Diceros bicornis minor: one gene and its partner. The protein of the gene in region 2 purifies or fractionates together with the protein of the main gene of each other region. This does not show direct contact. Links are inferred from orthologs where the notes say so. Each region holds a gene or a part of one and is shown on either strand. Other genes may lie near its edges.

What was found. Proteins that work in one complex are often made in the same cells at the same time.
Region 1: the proteins of COP1 (region 2) and TRIB3 purify together in Homo sapiens (affinity purification with mass spectrometry; 5 studies listed by BioGRID and IntAct, counting the BioPlex papers as one, with this or other methods). This does not show direct contact. The link is inferred for Diceros bicornis minor from reciprocal best matches to the Homo sapiens genes COP1 and TRIB3.

The regions. Positions count from the first base shown.
Region 1 is NC_080758.1:28,575,395-28,585,778, forward strand, and holds the start of TRIB3 (tribbles homolog 3), read left to right. Parts: upstream 1-6,446; 5' UTR 6,447-6,622; intron 6,623-10,056; coding exon 10,057-10,347; intron 10,348-10,384. UniProt on the Homo sapiens protein: Inactive protein kinase which acts as a regulator of the integrated stress response (ISR), a process for adaptation to various stress. Inhibits the transcriptional activity of DDIT3/CHOP and is involved in DDIT3/CHOP-dependent cell death during ER stress.
Region 2 is NC_080743.1:90,434,000-90,444,789, forward strand, and holds the start of COP1 (E3 ubiquitin-protein ligase COP1), read left to right. Parts: upstream 1-6,282; 5' UTR 6,283-6,506; coding exon 6,507-6,925; intron 6,926-10,790. UniProt on the Homo sapiens protein: E3 ubiquitin-protein ligase that mediates ubiquitination and subsequent proteasomal degradation of target proteins.

The DNA of each region.
Region 1 (10,384 bases), on a different chromosome or scaffold from region 2:
GGTAAGAGGCCCAGGAGGGAGGCCAGCAGATGCCAAGCTCCTGATGCTTGTGCCTGACACAGCTCTCTTGATTCTTAAGAGTGTCTCAAGACACTCAGGCCTGGGGCTAGAGCTGGGTGTATCTGGGGACTGGGGTCAGGGGTAACAGATTAGAGCTAAGTCTGTCTGCGGGACTATAACTCAGTCAGGAGCCAGAATTGGAATTCAGGCCAGGGGTCAGGATGGGAAAAGGTGGGTGCCCAGTCAGGAACCGAGTCAGCACTCAGTTTGGTGCCAGGGTCAGGGTTTAGCCCTGGCTAGGGGCAGTGATCAGGGCTCAGGCTATGGCCAAGGTTTCAGGTTAGAGTTCAGTCAGAGTCCAAAGTCAGGGACTAGGGCTCAGTCTATGACCAGAGTCAAGGGTCAGGGCTCAGTCAGTGTCCAGGGAGGGACTGAGTGGGGGAGTTCGCTCTGGACTCCTTGAGGAGCACCTTCCAGCCTAAAGTGCCATCATCCAAACACTCCCCTCCATGCTCTCGCCCTCCCCAGGTCACTCCCGAGGGCCAGGCCTGGTTGAGTGTCCCCCACAAGGCCTAACAGTCCTTACTCTAGCACCCCAGGGGCTCCGGCTGGGATGGGGGTAGGGGCTATGGGGCAGGACTCCACGCCTGACCCAGGAGGGCGCCTTGCGCAAGGCTTTTCTGATGCAACCGGCTGCTGGCTGAACACCTCGAAGTGCCCCCCCCACCCCCCATCTCACAAGCTTTTCTCAGAAAGGGAAGGGCTGGACAGTGGCCTGGATGGAACACAGCATCCCTTTCCTTCCCTGGTGCTGATGGCTTCAGAACCGCAGGGGGCGGGCAGGAAGGAAGGCAGGCAGGGCAGGGATCAGACGACTCAGCAACTCAGTGGCAGCTCCAGTACTGGGAGGGGTGGATCTGGGCTCCCTCCTCCCCTCAGCTGGAAGGTAGGGGACAGAGCAGGATCCCTGGAAGTTCAGAGAGCCCCATCCTTACACACATGAAGCAGTAATTTTGTGGCTGAGCCGGGAGAGGGACTGGGGCTGCCCAAGGTCAAAGGCAAGGTCAGAACCAGAAACCTGCCTTCCTCCTGCGGTATCCAGCTCCTCCCACCGCAGGTTGGGGAGAGGACCCCTCACCCTTGAGGGGGGCACAGGACTTCCCCAGAGCTTTCAGCCAATCTCCTTGAGGCTCCTGAAATAGCGGAAGGACACGGGCTTTGGAACTACACAGACCTGGGTTCAAACCCCTGGACTTGCTGTGTGATCCTGGGCAGGTTACTTCTCCTCTCTGACACCTGGTTTTCTCACTTGTAGAAAGGGCATAAGTTCATCCTTAGCTCACAGGGCTGTGGTCAGGATTACAGGAGAAAGCAGACGGAGGACACAGCCCAGGCCTGCCACACGGGGGATGCTCAGGAGGTGTGTCCCCACCTCTCCCTCCACCCTCAGCTCTCAAGTGGTGTGTGTTGGGGTGCAGGGGAGGCAGCAGCCTGGGCTCCGTAGACATAATATTGCCGCTTATCATCAAGTGCTTACTGTGTGCCACGAACTCTTCTAAGCACCTTACCTGTATTAACTCATTTAACCCTCCATTTAATCCAATAACAGTTCCCGGTAACAAGAAGCAGTTCAATAACCCTATCAGGAGGATGCTACTATCAATTCCATTTCATAGATGAGGCTCTGGGTCTCAGAGCAGCTAAGTGACTTGCCCAGTGTCATATAACTAGTACTGGCCAAAGAGGTTATGTAAGGCTGTGGACAAAGACCACCTGGGCTTTAAGCCAGATAGACAGGCTCCTAATCACACTACCCTCCTCATCCTTAGGCCAGTGATGTCACCTCTCTGAGCCCAGTTTCCTCATCTGTCTCCAGGGATGAAAACAGCAACTCCCTGGGAGGTTTGAGGATGCAGTGAGGTGATGTAAGGAAGCACCCACACAGGGCCATGCTCCATCCTCAAGCACAGGAATCACATTCTTCCTAAAGAAAACCCAGGCCCACAGGGCAGACCTGGGTCACCTGGCAGGGCCGTGGCTGCCACTGGGCCACCTCTGGGAAGATGCTGTGCCCACGCACAGGGCTTCCTGCCTTTCCTGAGGCCCAGCCTCAGCCACATTCGGATGATGAGGGATTTCTGCAAAGCCCCTGGGAAACCCCAGAGAAGGGGGGGTGTCTGGTCTCCTAATGAGGGCTCCCCAAGAGGAGCACAGGCCTAGAGCTGCAACTCTTGAATCACTCACTGCTTTTCCCAAATTGATTGGCTCAAATCCATTTACGCATCTGTATTATTAGTTTCCTGATGTTTTTCTTTCAATCAGCTTATTTTTTAAAACTTAGGTAAATTCATTTAAAAGGGAACATTTAAGTCACTGACCTCAAATGGAAAGCCACTATCATTTCCGGTAAGGAGAAAGTCACCATCAAATTAAATACAAGGAAAGCAAAATAAGATTCTTCAAGCCTAGCAAAATCCTGTTTCTTGCTGAAGGCTCTGGACTGAGCCCTGCTCTCTCTTCCTTACCAAGCGAGTTGTTAAAGACAGAGAGGCTGTAAAATGAGACTTTTCCCCCCAGTAACTGGAGGAACAGGAAGAAAATCAAAAGGAAATGCATGTACCACCAAATGATTCAATGATTCAGAGTCTTGAGACCCCACCATTGCTATACATGTCATATTTTAGAAAACACCGACCTAATCCAACTCTTTCTTCCTATTTTACAGACAAGAAACTAAGGCCCCAAGAGGGAAGATGACTTGCCCACCATCTCACGGGGTCAATGGCTTCAGCCAGACCTGAATCCAACCAAAATTCTTTCCAAAGCATCTTTTCGCTTTCGTGGGCACAACTTACCAAGCGGAAGGTTTTGGGGCCGGCCTGGTGGCACAGCTGTGAGGTGCGCACGCGGGGCTGTGACCGCCCAGGGTACGCCAGTCCGCATCCCCCGTGCGCAGGGATGCCCTGCTTGTCAAGCCATGTTGTGGGGGAGTCCCATATAAAGTAGAGGAAATTGGGCACGGATGTTAGCCCAGGGCCAATCTTCCTCAACAAAAGGAGGAGGACTGGCGACAGACATAGAAAAAAAAAGCTGAAACGTTTTAAGAACACCAGCGGTGGCATTTCAGGCTTGAGGCAGGCACCAGCGACGGGGTGTGGAGGAGGGAGGCGGGCGCGGCTCCTATCATCGCGGTCCACGGACTCCCACCCCCACCTTGGAGCGCAGCCTCCCCGCCCCGCGCCGAGTTCCTCCTCCCAGCGCTGGGGGTCAGCGGAACTACAGCGAATAGAAATGCAGCCCGCGTGGCTCAGGCATCTGGGTGGAGGGACGTTCTGAGCCCGCAGAGAAGGGAATTGACGAAAGCCCAACTCTCCATCCAGGAAAGTGCACATTTTTGCATTTAATTTTGGGGCGTTGATCACCATTTATTTTCTCTTCTTTTAACAAATGCTTATATAGCATTTATATGCCAGGCACTTCACAGATATTAAGTCATTTAATCCTCATAACAAACCGATGAAGTAGGCACTATTATTTTCCCCGTTTCACAGATGAGAAAACTGCCTCAGTGCATTTAATCCTTAGGACTACAATGCAAAGAAGGTATAATCAATCCATTTCATAGATGCAGAAACTGAGGCTCCAGGCTCTGTGGCATCTATACTGCAGACCCCACGCTCTTCACTTCTTTGCTATACTCCCTGGAATTCTTGGTCTAGGGGTGTGCTACTCAATACCATAGCCATTTGCTACACGTGGCTCCTGAGCGTTTAAAATGTGGCTGGTGTGACTGAGGAACCAAATTTTTCATCTTACTGAATTTTAATTTTAAAACAGGTAGCATATTTTTTCCTTTAAACCCAATTTAATTGTTTTGGGAGGACAACATTTCACTTTCACCACTGACAATTTAGCTTCCATGCTGATTTGTGTCCAAACCAAGTATGAAATACACACCAGATTTTGAAGACATTGGTATGAAAAAAATTTTAGATTATCTCATTAATAATTTTTATTATCTTATCTGTTGAAATGATAATATGCTATGTTATTGGATTAAATAGAATATTTAATATTTATTAATATTAATTCCACCTGCTTCTTTTTATTCTCCTGCAATACCTGACTAGAAAAATGAAAACATACTTGGCTCATGTTATGTTCTATTGGAAAGTGCTGGTCTAGAGAATTGGGATTTGACACCCCCAACTGTGACAAGGCCCTCAAACCTGGAGTCCAGGCCCAGGGTGCGGTTCCAGTGACCATCCACAAGTCCGGGTGGAGGCTGCCTTCGGGTTGCAAAGATTGTGATCTGTCCCTGGACAGTGTGGGCACTGGAGTTAGCTGCCCCAGGTTCAAATCTCAAATCTGCTTCATACAACGAGCTCGGTGGTCTTGGTAAGTCCCTCACCTGGACTCATCTATAGAACGGAGGTGACAGTGCCCATCTCACAGTTCCTTAAGTACCTCAGGGCCTTTGCACTTACTTTTTCTCTGTCTCCCCTCACATCTTTGCACTCCTCACCCCTTCGCTTCCTTAAGATCTTAGTTTAAACATCACCTTCCTGATGACTCCTACTGAAAATAGCCACCGCTCAGTCATATCTGATGGAGAACAAATCTATCCTGTTCATTCAAGAAAATACATAACATTTATAACCTATTTTAAATGATCTCGGCTATTAATTTTATTTTCTTGATAATGGTCTGTCTCCCCACTGATTTATAAGATCCCTGAGGGCAGGAATAGGTCAGACTTGTCACGGCTGAGTCCCCAGCATTTAGAACAGGGTCTGACACAGCATGAAACAAAGTTAGGAATGTGGGAGCAAACCCAGACAGTGCTGGCTCCATCGAGGTGCTCAGAAGATAAGAATGCCTGCCTTCTTTTGCCCCGGACGGCTGCGGGACCTCCTGGTGTAGAAAATGAGTCCACCCATCCCTCCCGGCAGGGGAGTCTCCAGGGTTAAGTGAGGTGCCACAACCCCCTGCTGTGCTCGGAGGGTTCTGAGACACAGGGGAGCTGGTCCCTGGAGTGCTGGAATCAGGGAAACAGAACTCCACCCACCTCCCATCCAACTTCTGCCCCAAGGAGTTATTTTTTGACACTGGTGAATTCAGATATCAAGACCTAAAAGGGATTTCCAAGAAAGGTGCTGGCCCCTTGGGGCTGCACAGGGATGTTCCATCAAACAGCAAGGGCCACCAAGGCCTCCCAGGTCTGGAGTGTGAGCCCTGTAACGGGCACCTTCCCCTCTCTGAGCCCCCGTTGTCCCCACTCTATTTATTGAGCACCTACAACATGCCACACATTCTAAGTATTTTACACGTATTAATTTATTTAATCCAAGCAACAACCCCGTGAAGTGAGTACTATTATAAGCCCGTTTTACGGAGGAGGAAACTGAAGCAGGGTTTTCAGTATCTTTCCTGAGGTAGCACAGTGGGTCTGGGCAGTGGTGGGGTGCACTCTTAGGCAAGCTGGATCTAGGGTGTTTGCTCTTAACCACTAGGCTGCACTGCCTCTGTCAAATGAATGCTGTGAAGCCCACCCAACCTCAGGCCTCTCCAGGGCACCCCACTGGTTCTTTTGAGCCTGGAGGCGGCTCCTAAATCTGTGGTCTTTGCAAAACTCCAGGGCTGCTTTCCCAGAGCGGAGCTTCACGCTCCCCCTGAGTAGAATAGGGAGATGGAGCTTCCTGCCCCCCTGGGGTTCTCCTAAAGGTTTAATAAAGCAATGGTGGCAAAGTGCTTTATATATATATATATTTGTGTGTGTGTGTCTGTGTGTGAGGAAGATCAGCCCTGAGCTAACATCCAATGCCAATCCTCCTGTTTTTTGTTGAGGAAGACTGGCTCTGAGCTAACATCTGTGCCCATCTTTCTCTACTTTATGTGAGACACTGTCCCAGCATGGCTTGACAAGCAGTGCGCCTGTGCACGCCCGGTTCCGAACCTGAGAAGCCAGTGCCGCTGAATCGGAGCGCGTGCACTTACCCGCTGTGCCACCGGGCAGGACCCCAAAGCGCTTTATAAACGGGGAAGCACCCAGGAAACTGTCACGGTTTGCTCTTTCTCCTTGGAACCATCCTGAGAGGGAAGGATGTTCTTGCTTGCCATTTCACAGATGGGGAAACTGAGGCTCAGAAAAGCAAAATGCTTTTCCCAAGGTGATAGGGAGAGTCGGAGGCAGGTGTCCTCGCTCAAACTTCGGGCACGGGGCAGGAGGGGAGGGAGTGGAGACCAGACACCCCTAGAGGGCGGGAGAGGCGAGGGGTGCCGGGGCGGAGCGAAAGGGAGGGGCCGGGGCGGGGCGCGCTCGGCGGTGACCCCGAGGGGCGGGGCGCGGCGGATGGTGCAATCCCCGGCCTGAGGGCATCCGGAGGCGGCTGATTAGCTCAGGTTTACATCACCCGGGCCGGAGCAGGAGCCCGGCGCCTGGCGTCCCCGAGACACTCGCAGCGGAAGCGCCGGCGGCGCCGCACGCGTCCGGCTGCTGGGGCCGGGACAGCGCTCCGTCGGGATCCCGAGCTCGGCACACCGGACCGACCCCGGGCCACCCGGGGGCCCCGGCGACTCTGAGCTTGAGCGGCGGCAGGACCCCCGCGCACGCGGGAGCAAGGTACCCGGTGGGGACAGGAGAGAGGACGGAGATGGGCGGAGGGGGACCGGGAGCCTCTGGGCGGCTGCGGGTTGCTGCGTGTTACACACACGCGCGTGCACACACAACTTTTAACAAACCCCGCAGTCCAGGGCGCGACCTGGGCTGAGTGTTGCCGTCGCGTCTCAGGTGACACGGCCCGGCAGGGCGTGGGGTCGCCCGAGTGTGGCCGACTCGGGCTGGGCCGAGGGTGCGCTCCCGTGGGGAGTGGCAGCTGTGTCCCGGGGGCAGAGGGGGCCGGGGACTGAGGTGTCCGGGTGTCGCCCCGAGAGGGGTGTGCGGTTGTCTGTGTTTTGTGTGAGTGTGAGGCGGGGGAGTTGTGTCGTTTGGTGCGGGAGGTCTGGGGGCGCCTGTGTGGGGCATTGGGGGACTGCGTGTAGGGTCTGTGTCACTGTGGGGGCGTGCCTGTGGGGATCTGCGGGTGTCCACGTGACCCTGTGGGGTCTGGGCGGGGATGGTCTCGGGGGTCTGTGTCCTCGTGGACTGTGCGAGCTGTGGGGAGGGTTGGGCACCTGGTGGCAGGTGTTGGCTGTGCGGGGACACCGCCGGGAAGAGCTGGGGTGCCGGAGGGGGCGGGGCGGGGAGGGAGGTGGGGGGGTGCACGGCGAGTGGGAGCGAGGATGCAGCGCGGGATGCGGGGCCCGAGGGCGGTGCGGCTTCGGGTTTGCACGTTGTATTGTGCGCGCGTGTATTTGTTCCTGCCAATGGTGTGCATTGTACCTGCAGACTCGGGCGTGTGGGGGCGAGGGCCCAGGTCCGCCCCTTCTCCCAGCCTGGGGCCCAGCCTCCTTCCCTTTGCCTCACTGCCCCCACCCCTCTCGGTTTCCGCCGAACCTTCTGCCCGGGACACCCGCGGCCGCCGCTTCAGCTCCCACCGGAGGGGCCTGGCTGCGGAAGGCGCCGGGAGGGTGCTAACTGCCTTCCGCGGGGTTGGGGGGGCGTGTCAGACTGTGCGTATGGCCTCGTTGGTATCAATCCTGCAGTCCTGAGTGTGATAGTGGGGAGAGCTGTGTGTGTGTGCCTGTGCACTTGCCCTGGAGGGCGAGGTGTGTGTCACGTAATGATATGTCCCTCTCTGCCCTGGATGTGCGGCGCGGGCTGGCTGGCTTGGACAAAGTGTCTTTTTGAGGGGCGTGAGTACACCTGTCTGCCCTGGGTTGTGTGTGTGTTTGGTATGGCTCACTCTCATTCCCCGGAGGTGTCAGGGAACAGCAAGAGGTAGATATTGGGGGCTGCCTCCATCCTACAGCAGAGATTCTAGTCCTGCAGTGTGGCCTTGCTCATCTACAGCCTCAGTTACCTCACCTGTCCAGTGAGCTTATCTCAGACCCAGCAGCCTCTGGGCATGGATGGGACCAAGCAGCCTGAGTGCTGGTGTGGCCCCCAGAGGGCCCCTCCAGGGAGTCTCGTGCTGCCAGGGCACAAAGCATCCACACAGCCAGGTGTCATCCTGTGTGACTCTCAGAACAGCCCTGGAGGTAAAGAGTGTCATCCTAGCCTCACCCCAGGGAGATTCCTGAGCCTTTCAGGGGTAGCACTTTAGCATCTTCAGCTACGAATAATAATAATAATAGTAACGGACCAACAGTAGTGACCATTTTCTGACACCTACCCTACAAAAGGCCACTCTAGTTTATTTGTGTTTTCATTTCATCATCAGAAAAATCCTATGGGCTTTGCATCCTGTTCCCACTTTACAGATGAGGGAACTGAGGCTCAGGGAGGTTGAAGAGCTTGCCCAGGACTACCCAGCCAGGAAGGATCTGAGCCAGGATTAGAACCCAGGAATATCTGACTGCAGCCACCCCTGATTGCATTCTTACCAAGATGGGATTATGGCCTTTCACTCGGGGTGGGGGTGGGGGTGGGGGTGGGGATTCCCTCCCTTCCTCCCAGGCCAGCCCAGACATTTGGGAGCAGCGTGATTGGAGAGGTGGGCCTCAGTGTGAGAACTGACTGAGTCATGTTTCCCTGTTAATCCTGCCTGGGACTGTTGGGAAGGTCTCACCTGGGCTGAAGTCCATCTCCCTCTGACTCCTCTTCCCTGGGCTCCGTGTCCCTCATTTGGAGCCTGAATGGGTGGGCAGATGGGTCCTGGAGAGAACTTTTCCGCCCAGACATGCCATTGCCCTCTCCTCCACCCACCACACACGGTGACACAGCTGCACGGGGGGTGGCTTCCCCCACAGCTGAATGAATGAATTTGGGGGCCTTTGACAGACCCTCCCCTCCCCGCCTCACCTCTCACATGAGGGGGAAGCTGAGCTGGCTGGGGGACTGACTTCGCCTGTGGTCCCTGTGATTCCGGGAGCTCTTGAGCCGTCAGGCAATAGTAGATAAAATTCACATTTGAAAAAAAAGAAATACACTCTGATCTGAAATACTCAAGCAGTAAGTGAACGCAGGATCTTTACCTTACAATACTGAAATTGAAAATTCCCTTGCCCCCCTACCAAATCCCTTCCTCCCCTGGGGGCCTCCAGTTTAGTCTGGGTCCTTCCAGACCTTTCCCTGTGCATTCACACACCGACATACACGCAAACATGGAGCTACATCATTTTATATGCTGGGGGGTCTTTGCATAAATGAGGTCACCTTGGGTGTGCTGTTCAGCAGCCTGCTTTCCCCTGGACAGTATGTCCGTTCCAGAGCGCACATGCACATGCGCATTCAGGCCCACCGCATTCATGCAGCACCCTCATCATCTTACTCCCTCCTTCCCTCCCTCCCCGTCACGGCTCATAGCCTCCTGCGCTATGACACTCAACAGATACAATGCAAAGTCTTTCTTCCTCCCTGTCACAACCACTAAGTCTCTCTCTCCGCTTTACCTTTTTTTCTGTTTTCACTTAACAGTTCACTTTGGAGATCTTTCCAATCAGCACATAAAGAGTTTCCTCAATCTTTTGAATGGCTACAATTGTTCCCTGTATGGATGAAATACAATTTATTTAACCAGCCCCCTAAGGATGGACGTTAAATTGTTTCTATCACATGGGCTGCAGGAATAACCTTGTACTTGCATCGTTACATCAGTGTATAGAGAGCTTCCCAGTCCTTTTTCAGAGCTGTATAGTATTCCACGGTATGGCTGTACCATGGTATTTAACCAGCCTCCCACTGCTGGACACTTGGGAGTGTTTCCTGCCTTTTGCTATTAGACACAAGGCTCTGATGAGCAGCCTTTCACATATTTAATTTTTTGGTGAGCATTTTAGTTGGAAGATAAATTCCCAGAAGTGGGACACCCAATTAGGGCTATGTGCACTTGTCAGTCTAATACACACTACAAATCATCCTCTGTAATTGGCTGGGCCAATGTACCCTCCCACCAGCAGGGGAAGAGAGGGCCGCCAAACAGCCTCACTTGAGTGCCTTCCTCTCCTTCTTTCTAGATGCGAGCCACCCCTCTGGCTGCTCCTGCAGCTGCCCCCTCCAGGAAGAAGCGGTTGGAGTTGGACGACAACCTAGACACTGAGGCTCCCACCCGGAAACAAGCTCGAAGTGGGCCCCCGCCCAGGCTGCCCCCCTGCCCACTGCCCCTGAGCCCACCCCCTGCTCCACTCCGTGCCCCTGCTGTGACCACCGCCTCCCGGCTTGGGCCCTATGTCCTCCTGGAGCCTGAGGAGGGCGGCCAGGCCTACCGGGCCCTGCACCGCCCCACAGGAGCCGAGTACACCTGCAAGGTACCTGCCCTGGGGGCCACTCTCCACCAGCGTCACA
Region 2 (10,790 bases):
AGAAAAGAAATACCTGCTGTATCTGAGTAAAACAAATTAAGAATATAAGAATTACCATACGTCTCAGAGAATAAGAGGAAACGTATTGTCAGAAGGAATACTTATTTTACTTGACATCATCTTCAAAGGTTAAGAATAGGTTCCCAAACTAACTTCTCTTCCAACCTGATAAATATCTAAATATAATGATTATATCCAAATACTATTCATCTTTCATTCTAGGTGGTTTACTAAAGTTCACAATTTAGTGCTGCTTTAGCATTCCCAGTTTCTTATAGAATTCAGTGGGTGACACGAGTGGGTATTAGAGGAGATATCATAGTATGATTTGCCAGCAATTACATCTGAATACCCAGGGTACTAGGCAGAAAGGACTATCACTCACAACCTAAGAAGGAGTCTTGATGCAAATTACAGTGTACTGTGTTGGGGCCCACGACGGGCCGCCCCAAAATATCCCACAATGGCATGTTGATTATTTTGAATTAAAGTTGCTTCAGAAGCAAAAAGGGCATACTGAACCTCCTGTCTCTGTTCCCCCTGAAAGCAGGAAATACATCTCCCATGTGAAAGGTGCCCTCCCTGCATCCTTATCACCAGATTAAGGGAATTCAGGGCCAAGAAGCCTGCATAAACAAACCTTGCTAATTTACTACCTCAAGCCTAAACTCTGCTTAAATTCCTCACAAATTACGTACTCCAAACCTGTTTCTTTGTGCTGTCATTCCTCGTAAATTTGTTTTTTTGTGTAAAAGACATATATACACGCCTGCTTTGTTCACTCGCTGAGAATCATTTCCATAATTCTCCCACGCACATGTAACTAAATTGGGTTTTTCTCCTGTTAATCTGGTCTTGTGTCAATTTTATTTTTAATCTAGCCATAACACAAGAAGAGTATAAAGGGGATTTCCCCCTGTCTGACAACTGTTTTAAACATTTCTTGATTCTAGTTATAAACACTTTCCCAGATCACTTAATTATGCCACATTACATGTATGCGTGGTCAAATCCACGGAAAAAAGACTTGCAATATTATCTGCTTCAGTTTCCATGTGAGGTGTGTTTTTTTCTTCTTTTGCTCTTTAATATTACCTGGTCTCCACCTCATGATGACATCAATTGTTCTGTTTTTGCAGAATTCATTACACCTCATTTTGTTTTGGTTTATGATCTTCAACTGGATCTAAATCTATTCATATATTCATAAAATATGTACACATTCACCATATATAAAACAAGTAAATGTTGGTTTTTCCCAATCTTGGGCTTTTTTTTTCCTTTAAGCTGACTAACCCTATTCAGTAACTTGCATTCACATTCATATAGCTCCACCTATAATCTTTCATTGTTATAATACTTCTGATTGGCCTAGGCCATATTTTACAACTACCTAGACTAAAATTGCCAGCAGTAGCTTGCAAAAATGCTTTAATACAGGAAATTAACTTCTTTTATTTATTTTTATATGCATTTTTTTTTTTTGCTGAGGAAGATTCTCCCTGAGCTAACATCTGTTGCCAATCTTCCTCTTTTTCTACATGAGCCGCTGGCACAGCATGGCCACTGACAGACTAGTAGAATAGGTCTGTGCCCAGGAACCGAACCTGGGCTGCTGAAGCAGAGCATGCTGAACTTAACCACTAGGTCACTGGGGCCGGCCCTAACTTATTTTAATACGATGACTGACTTACCATGGTATTAGTGCTATTAGTTTACCTTCTCTAAAAAATGGTTGTAATTTCATACAGGAAGACTTGGAGTGGAATAAAAGCTAATGATGCAATTCTAGCAATGACAACAGTGTGACAGACCTTGGCCTTTTCAGAAAAGAGATTGTCCTCAAATGATAACTCTAAGAAAACGTAGTTCTCCATAGGTAACTGTCTGCCTCTGGTTTTAATGTATAACTTGGAGCTTTTCATTTTCCCGGTAGACTATGGATTATTTTCTGCTAGATGCATTATGATGCTACTGGGTTACAGAAACTTTTCTATTTCTTTTCTGTCCCTTCACATTGACAATTTTTTTTTACTTTTTTCTTCTCAATTTAGCTTGTTAATACCATGTTTATTTCACATCTCTTTTTTTTTTAACAGGGCAACCACATTAAATTCAAAGAAAATTGAACAGGAAGCTATTATTCACTCAGAGATTTGGTTAGACAGCAAACAGGGCTAACAGGTAGCAAACCTTTCAGGTGAGTCAGGCAGATAAAGCTTTTTTGGCAGGATCTTTTTGGGAGATGGGTTACCAAAGTGCAAGGCTAGTTGGAGATGAAAGCCAGCAGCCTTATTTCCCTAAAATATTATATTTGGACAAGGCAACTTAGAAATATGTCTGGGAAATCCAATCCTCTTGCTAATTCCATTCTATCTTAACTCCATTAGATTTTACTTCAGTAGCAGTGTTTTGTAGGACTTTGGATTTTTTCTTGTCATTTTTGTCATTCACAGGATTAATATATTTAACAACATGATGAATTCTTTTAATTATTAGGGCTTAGTTTTTATTTTACATTTACTTTCATTTTCATTAATGTTTTCTTCTCTTCTATTTGCTACTTCTCCTGAGTTGTCTGACTTCCTTTGTGCGTATTTTGCCATGCTTCCTCTTTTCTCTTCTGCTTTCCCAGAAAATCTTGCCAGTAGAAACTAATAAGTCTAGTTGTCATCTATCATCGTTCACAAGTGCCCCTTTACCCCTTTTGCCCCACCCCCACCACTCTGGTTACCACCAATCCCTTCTCTGTATCTATGTGTTTCTAAGCTCAGGGTTCCTCTCCTCTAGGGCAATCTATGCCTCTGGTCCACATGGCCCTGTGGGAATTGGGGCTCAGTGAACTGGCCCATGAAAATGCTGATACTCTACCCACTGCTATTGCTATGAATAATCAAGTCCTTTGTTTCTGGGGGAAAAAAAAAAAGAGATAAAAATTATGTACTTTCAGAGTAGTCTTTACACATTTATCTGGTATAAAAGGGAAATTCCATCATTATCACATACCCTTAGCTTCCTTTTGTGAGTTTAGATTTCACTGAAGACAGGTTCCAAAGAGGTAATACCAGGCACTGATTTTTGATTAGGAGACTTAGCTGGGGTCCTATCACTTTCTGTCTCCTGAATAAGCTACCTGGAAGGAAGAGACTATTTTACACATTTCTCTTACACGCCCTACAATATCAATCACAGGGTTTCTCAAGGGTTCGTCACCTGCATCAGATTTGCCTGGGTGCTGGTAAGAATGCATATTCATAGGCCCTACCCCAGGCCTATAGAGTCAGAATCTCTGAAGGAAGAGCTCAGGAGCCTGCAGTTTTATTTCTCTCATGTGTTGAACCTTCTCCTGTGCCATAGCCTGAATTTTCAATCACCGCCGGGATATACTTACTTGAATGTATTTTCACCCCACACTCGCTCGACACATCCAAAACTAAACATCTGCTGGCCATCTCCAATTCTGTCATCACGCTATTATTCCTGGAGGTATCTTTGCAGTCATTCTTCTTTGTGTTCATCATTTTTACTTAACTTATTAGCCTTTCTGCTAAGCATGTGGAAAGACAGTGATGAACAAGACAGATATGGGTCATGCCCTCAAGGATTGTAAAGATTCTTTTACCAAGAGTAGTTTAATCCTCCTATTTCAAATACCAGCACGGTCACCCATGGTGGACAGGTTTCAGTGGAGTTTCCAGACTAGACAGAATAGTAAGGAGGACGTGGCCATCCACTTCCGAAAAAATTGGCTATGAAAACTCTGTGAATAGCAGTGGAGCGTTGTCTGATATAGCACTGGAAAGTGAGAGGATGGCGCAAAAAGACCAGGCAGGGTTCTGCTCTGCTAGGCACAGGGTCACTAGGAGTTGGAATCCACTTGACAGTAACACCAACAAAACTTAATCCTATAGATTCTTTTGCATTTTTCTCAGAATACTCCCTTACTTTCCTTGTCAGCACCCTAATCTAGAATCTCATCACTTATGCTTGGACTGCTATAATTTTTTCCTAATTAGTCTCTTTGCTTCTAATCTCCCACCTCTTCTGAAAGATTAATCTGCTGAAAACTTAATCTTCAAAACAACACTTTGAATATATTTTACCTCCTTATAATGCCTTCATTGTTTCCAATTGCTTATAGGCTATTTTCTAAAGTGGATTCAAGGCGCTTTACAATCTGGCCCCCAAATGAGTTTTTACTGAATAAACTCTTTTACCTTATCAATTATAGAAATCTGAACCTCATGTAAGCATTTTTTCTTACTTATTTTCTGGGCTCATGACTTTAATTACACTTTCTGTTTGACCAAGCTATACTTTTCAGTTAAGGCCTTCCTTTTTCCCCCACCAACATGGCTGGCCCTTAGCACTTGTTCTTGCTTCAGTTCCTATGGTGAGTCTCTGCTCTCATTGAGCATTTAGCATGTGCTCTAACATTACTTATCTTTTTATGTACTTTTCTAATTCTTCAATTATTTCATAAGCTTCTTGAAGTAAGAGCAACGTTTTTTATACTTCTTCATCTCTTCCTTGCCTAGTCCAGGCCTACGTGTAGCAAATGTTCAATAAATATTCATTTATTTACGCATTTTTTCATCAAAAAATTATTGAATGCCCACTGAGAACTAATATTGTTCTTTCTTTCACGGAGCTTACAGTTTAGTTGGAAAGACAGACATTAAGCAAATAATTAAAATAAAAATGAGATCAACTGCTTTATTCAGTTATTAGTCAAGAAATATTCAATAAGGACCTATCATAGGTCAGGTATTGTGTTACATGCTGGGAATACAAAGCTGAAGCTGACAGGCTAGTGGAGGAGAATCATATATACATCACTAAAACACAATGTTTTAAGTGCAAACAAAATATCCTAGGAGCACAAATGAGAGTGCAACTATCTCTGCCAAGGACTCAGTAGGGCTTCACATTTCAGTATGGCCTTGAAAGTGAATTTAAACAAGGAGTTGGATAATGTAATATTTATACAAAGAGGGTGGTTCTTGGAAATCTGATAAGCCCATTTCTATATCATTATTTTGAGCAGAAACCTGAGCTGGAAATATGAGGGTGAGCAGTTACGGCAGAGTTGAGGATGATGGCAGCCATGACAGTTCACTGCTCAGGTGAATGGCTAGGTCTTGTTGCTGGGTCTTCATCTAGGTCCTTCCCCAGCCCTGGCCCCTCAGCATGGATGGACCTTCCTAGGGAAAGGCCCTAATTGCCCCTGTAGTCTTCAATACCCGGGACAGAATTAAATCTGGCATCTCTCCCTCTAAGAATCATGGAAATGATAGAGTTGGAAAGGATACTGAAAATCACCCAATTCAGTTGTTTCTAATTTACATCCCCCAGAATCTCAAAATGGTAAATGAAAATCTGTAATCAACTTTCAATATTCCGAAAAGCCTACCAGAAATTGCACATTTTCTGGTGGTATTTACTGCCAAGTTTCCTTGTTTTGTGGTAGTATTATATCAGATCCAAATTAAACCGAGGTTCTGACGGAGCTGTGTTCTGATTAAGCATAACTTGTTTTCCCATTATTGTTATACTTAATTTGGTACAATGTCTGCAATTAACAAAGAACAACACTGACTTCATCTTAATTTACTCCTCACAATAACATGGAATGTCTTAAAAACACCAGAGCCTGAGTCCTTGACTCTCAGCCCAGCGCTCTTTTCAACTTCTGGGAGTTCCTGGGTTCTTTCCGAGTGTCCCAGTTTACAGAGCCTTCAATTCCGGATTCGGAAGCACCTGTCCTGCCGTCTCCACTGGGACACGCTGCCCATCTGTGTCGACACCGACCGCTCCCTCCTCACGTTCCGGAATGCGGCTCGCCCTCACGCATGCGTAGTACGACGACTCCGCGCCGGCGCCGCTCCTCTCCGCCTGGAGGGGGACACTGGGTAACCCGCGAGGGTAGGCGCCCAGGGCGCGCGTGCGCAGTCGCTTTTTGAGCGCTCCCCGTCTCCGCTCCCTCCCCCAAACCACTCCGCCACCTCTGCCATTCATTCCATCCTCCGCAGCCCTTTCACCCATTACGACGGCCTGCCCTCCGGTACGTCACGAACGAAAACAGGTCTCGACGAGGGCGGCTGTCGTTGCCAGGCCGCCGCGGCCGCTGAGGGCGCGCCGTTCGCGTCCGAGCGCCGCCCGGGCCGCGTCTAAAGTTGTATCCCCCGCCGCTCCCGCCCCTTCCGCCGCTCGCGCGCGCGCGCGCGCGGCCGGCCCACGGCGCGCCCGGGTTGGCTGCGGCAGCGGCCGCGGGGCCTCGAGAGCGGTAGTGGTTTCTACTCCGCTTTATTAGTTTCCTCCGCCCCCTCCCGTCGGACGCTGTTGTGTGGTTGCCTTAAAAAAATCAACTTTATTGTTCCTCAGCCCCACCTCCCGGCGCGGCGCGCGTCCTCAGGATGCACTGAGGCTGTGGGAGGGGAGGCGGCGGCGGGTCGCGGTCGCGGTCCCTCTCCTCCGAGCGCCCGGCCGGAGGGGAGGGAGTCACGATGTCCGGGAGCCGCCAGGCCGGGTCGGGCTCCGCCGGGACCAGCCCTGGCTCTTCGGCGGCCTCCTCAGTGACTTCCGCCTCCTCGTCCTTATCCTCTTCGCCGTCGCCCCCGTCCGTGGCGGCTTCGGCGGCGGCGCTGGGGTCCGGCGGGGCTGCCCAGGCCGCGGGCTCCGGCGGCCTCGGGGGCCCGGCGCGGCCTGTGTTGGTGGCGGCCGCCGTGTCGGGCAGCGGCGGCGGGAGCGGCGGCGGGGCGGTGTCCGCCGGCCTGTCCCGGCTCAGCTGCGCGGCCAGGCCCAGCGCCGGAGTCGGAGGGAGCAGCTCCAGCCTGGGCAGCGGCAGCAGGAAGCGACCTCTGCTCGCCCCCCTCTGCAACGGGCTCATCAACTCCTACGAGGACAAAAGCAACGACTTCGTCTGGTGGGTTGGAGGCCCCGCCCTCTCTCTTGCTAAATTCTGAGTTTCTGCTGGTTGGGCTGGTGGGGTCCGGCGTGAGGGGGGTCTGTTGGGTGCCTTGGCGGCGTCTGCAGAGGGATTCGAGCGTTTGCAGAGACATTCAGACGGGTGGTTGGTGGAGTGGGATGGGGGCATGTTAGAGTCCCGAGGCAGGGTCGGAGTACCAAAGAGGTAAGTGCTAGTGAGGAGGGAGTGAAGGGACTTTAGGAAATAATAAATAAGGGAGGCGAGATGGAAGGTCAAATAAATGTGCGTACAAGAAGAAAGTTGGGCAAGGAGATTGGGCCTTGAATTTCCTGGCTGTCTGGAAATTAGGCACCTGTCAGTCCGGATTGTTGAAGTGAATTAAACTTGTAAAGGGAGAGGATTAAGCTTCCTGGGATGCTGAGGGATGGAGTTGTTGGTCAGAATTTGCTTATTTAACGTATGGTAGCTGGGGCTCTAAACGGGTATGAATGTTCTAAGGAGTAGTAGTATTTAATGTAAGTATCCATCGTGTTTGTATATAAATATCTCCTCCCACTTCAAAGGGTGGGCCACTTTTAAATCTGCTGTTGAGGCTACTGTAGTCAAGAAAATCTGTTCACAAAATTTCCACTTCTCAAGTGAATGTCTTGAAAGAGGGAACCACGTTTGTTAAATATCATCCATGTGTCAGATGTAACTACTACGTTTGTGTAACGCATTGGAGTATACTGGAACCTCTGATTTGAGAAAATAGGTGTTAGACATTTTGTCATCATAGTTGGCATCTTGGATGATGCACACTAGTATTCAGTTATGATGTTTGGCATAGAGGGGTTATCCATATTAAGTGAAAGATGCAGTTGATTGTCTTGCTGAGAGTGTTTTGGGATTTTCATTGTGTTTTGTATCCAAAATCCAATCCAAGTGGTAGGCTTATGAGAAATGAATTGCTTTTAGCTGAGTGAGAACTGGTAGGGTTTTGTGCTTTTCCTCTGGAGGAAATTGTTGATAGTCTTAGAATATTAGTGATGTAGGAAGTTGGCTTGCACTGTCATTATAGGGGAAGTTGATTCACTTCAGGGTTGAAGATGATCTGAGTTGGTGTCCTTAAATATGATAGGGCTGGAAGTTGGAGCTATAGGAAAGTTATTGATTAGACAAGAGTTTATAGTTCTTGCAGTAAAAATGTCTTTATTCATATTTTTGTTTTTGTCTTAAATTATTTTGGATTCAAAATTAATTCATTTTTTTACTGAAACTGGGTTGTAATTGTAATTAGATTGTTGTTTATAAATAATTTGAGCAGCTTATGGTTGGGTCTGAGAGGGTTTGTGCCCATATTCAGGAGAGAGTACCTTATGACAAAGTAGAAGCTAATGGAACAAAGTGAGGGTTTGCAGAATTTGTCTTTTTAGCCACCATTGCATTTCAATTTTCAGTAGGCTAAAAGAAAATAAACATGCTGATATCCATATATGTACACTAAAATAATGTAAAGGATGTGAGACATAAGGGAATCAGTCATTCATTCAACAGATATTTATTTGGTGCTCAGTTTGCCGGGCACCATATGAGTTTCATTGTGCTTACTATAGGCCATTTTATAGGGAATTGGAGAGGGATGTGGAAGTGTAAGCAGCTGGCACTGATTTTTTTTTTCCTTTGGGGATGAGATTATTAAAATTTTTATTAGTTTGTCACCTAATTTTTAAAAATTTCAATCTTGTTTATGAGTCCTAATCATGTTGTTTAGATTATTCTGTTTTCTTTTGTATTCTAATGTGGAAGTGTCCAGTGAGAGTCTTTTGTTAAAAATTCTGAATATTTCACTTTTCTAAGAATCTCCTTAGTCCATTGTTTCTTTCTCTGGCGAGGTTGAATATTCAGAAGAATTCATTAATAGAAATCAATTTTCCTGATTCTCAAGCTAGATTTGATTTGGCCAAGCTTTGGAGGTAGGAAGATATGGATTAGGCAAGGCCCAAGGAATCCTTTTCATTTCTAGTTGGCTCTAGGTTGTTGATCTGGTCTTGTATGCTTCAAGGTCAAAAGATGAACCCATCCAGATTACTCTGCTTTTACATGTAAATGAGGCTAAAGTTTGAATAATGCTGATAATGTCTTATTCATCACATTTTAAAGGTATGTTTATACTTCACATTTCATTTTATCCTTAGAGCAATTCTGTGAAGTATATAGAACTTCCAAATTTTTTGTGTGTGTGTGTGAGGATGATCAGCCCTGAGCTAACATCTGCCAATCCTCCTCTTTTTGCTGAGGAAGACTGGCCCTGAGCTAACATCCACGCCCATCTTCCTTCACTTTATATGGGACACTGCCACAGCATGGCCTGACAAGGGGAGCACTGGTGCATGCCCGGGACCCGAACCCAGGCCACCAGCTGCGGAGCGCGCGCACTTAACTGCTACACCATGGGGCCGGCCCCAGAACTTCCAATTTTAATATAATAATAATATAATTGTATTTCCATTGAGGTACAAAGAAGTTAAGTAATTTTCAGATTGGATGGCTAAGGGGCAAAGTGAGCACTCAGATCTCCAATTCTCAACTTCGTGCTTTCTTTGTATGTAATTAGGAAATTTCAGATCTGTAAGTTTGAGTACATATATTTAGCCTAGTGGTTCTTAAATGTGGTAGATTTGAGGGGAACAGCTGTTTCTAAATTATATGAGATATGTTTTTATTCCTAACCGCTCCCTCCTCCTGCCTGCCTGCCCGCCCGCCCGTATTCCCAAGAGGACATATCCGAATTGGAGACTGGAATGGGCAGTGTAGTTTGGCAGAGCTCTCCTGGTAATAATGACATGTCCTCTTCCCCTCTTTGAGAACAGTTGATTTCAAGTCACATGCCTAATTTTCAGTAACACACTTTAGCCTCTCTTGACTTATATCATATTTGAAAGTAAGTTTATATTTAATTGCAGAATTAACATTTTAGGGATTTGTAGTTTTCACTTTAATATTTCTTTCATACAAAGGGTTGAAAGTATTATCAAGTTGCAGATAATGCTAATGGTTTTATAGATGGAGAGTCTGTAGATCAGGAGAGAGTAGTATTTAGCTTAAAGTTGGATAAATCTTTGACATTCAAAGGATGTCTTTGTTACTTTGATTTTTCAGATTTTTCTGACATGATCCATTTAACTAAACTATGAATCTGGCCTGTATTTGGAAGATGACTTCTTTCTTTTATTCTACCACGTTACTGCTGCCTCTGCATTAACTTTTCCAAGTGCCTGAAATGACCTTTTCTACCTCTGCAAGTCCCAGTTATCCTCCAAGTTGCAGCAGAAATAAGTATTTTCAAGTAGATGGTAAATCCCGTGTGGGAAGGTTAACTCTAATCATCTGCCTGATAAAAAGTAGGTAGGATCTACATTACACAGATCTACCATTTAATAAATATGTGACTGCCTCTCTTGTGTCTAACTATTAATAATAGATTCTCTATCCTGAAAGAGTTCATGATTTAATGTGAAGAAGAACTTTTAATCACATAATTGTAGTATCATATCCCAGCATCATTGCTTCTCTTAGTACCGTGGCAGATGTTAAATACTCTTCTGAATTCAGATGTTGTCTCCCAGTCCTCAGCATAGCACTCTAGGCAGCCATTACCTGTTAATCACATTTAGCACTAAAGATGAAACCTGTTGACCATTCTTGCTACTATAACTGTTTTTCAAACTATTAAAAAGTGAAATAAAATAGGAGATATCATAGAACCTGTCGTGATAAAGATAAGTTTGTTTGATGAAACTTTTGGTTACATTTTTATGTACAATGTATGTGCAATGTGTGTCTTACTAGGTCTCAGGGTGAAAAATTTTTGAAAGTCACT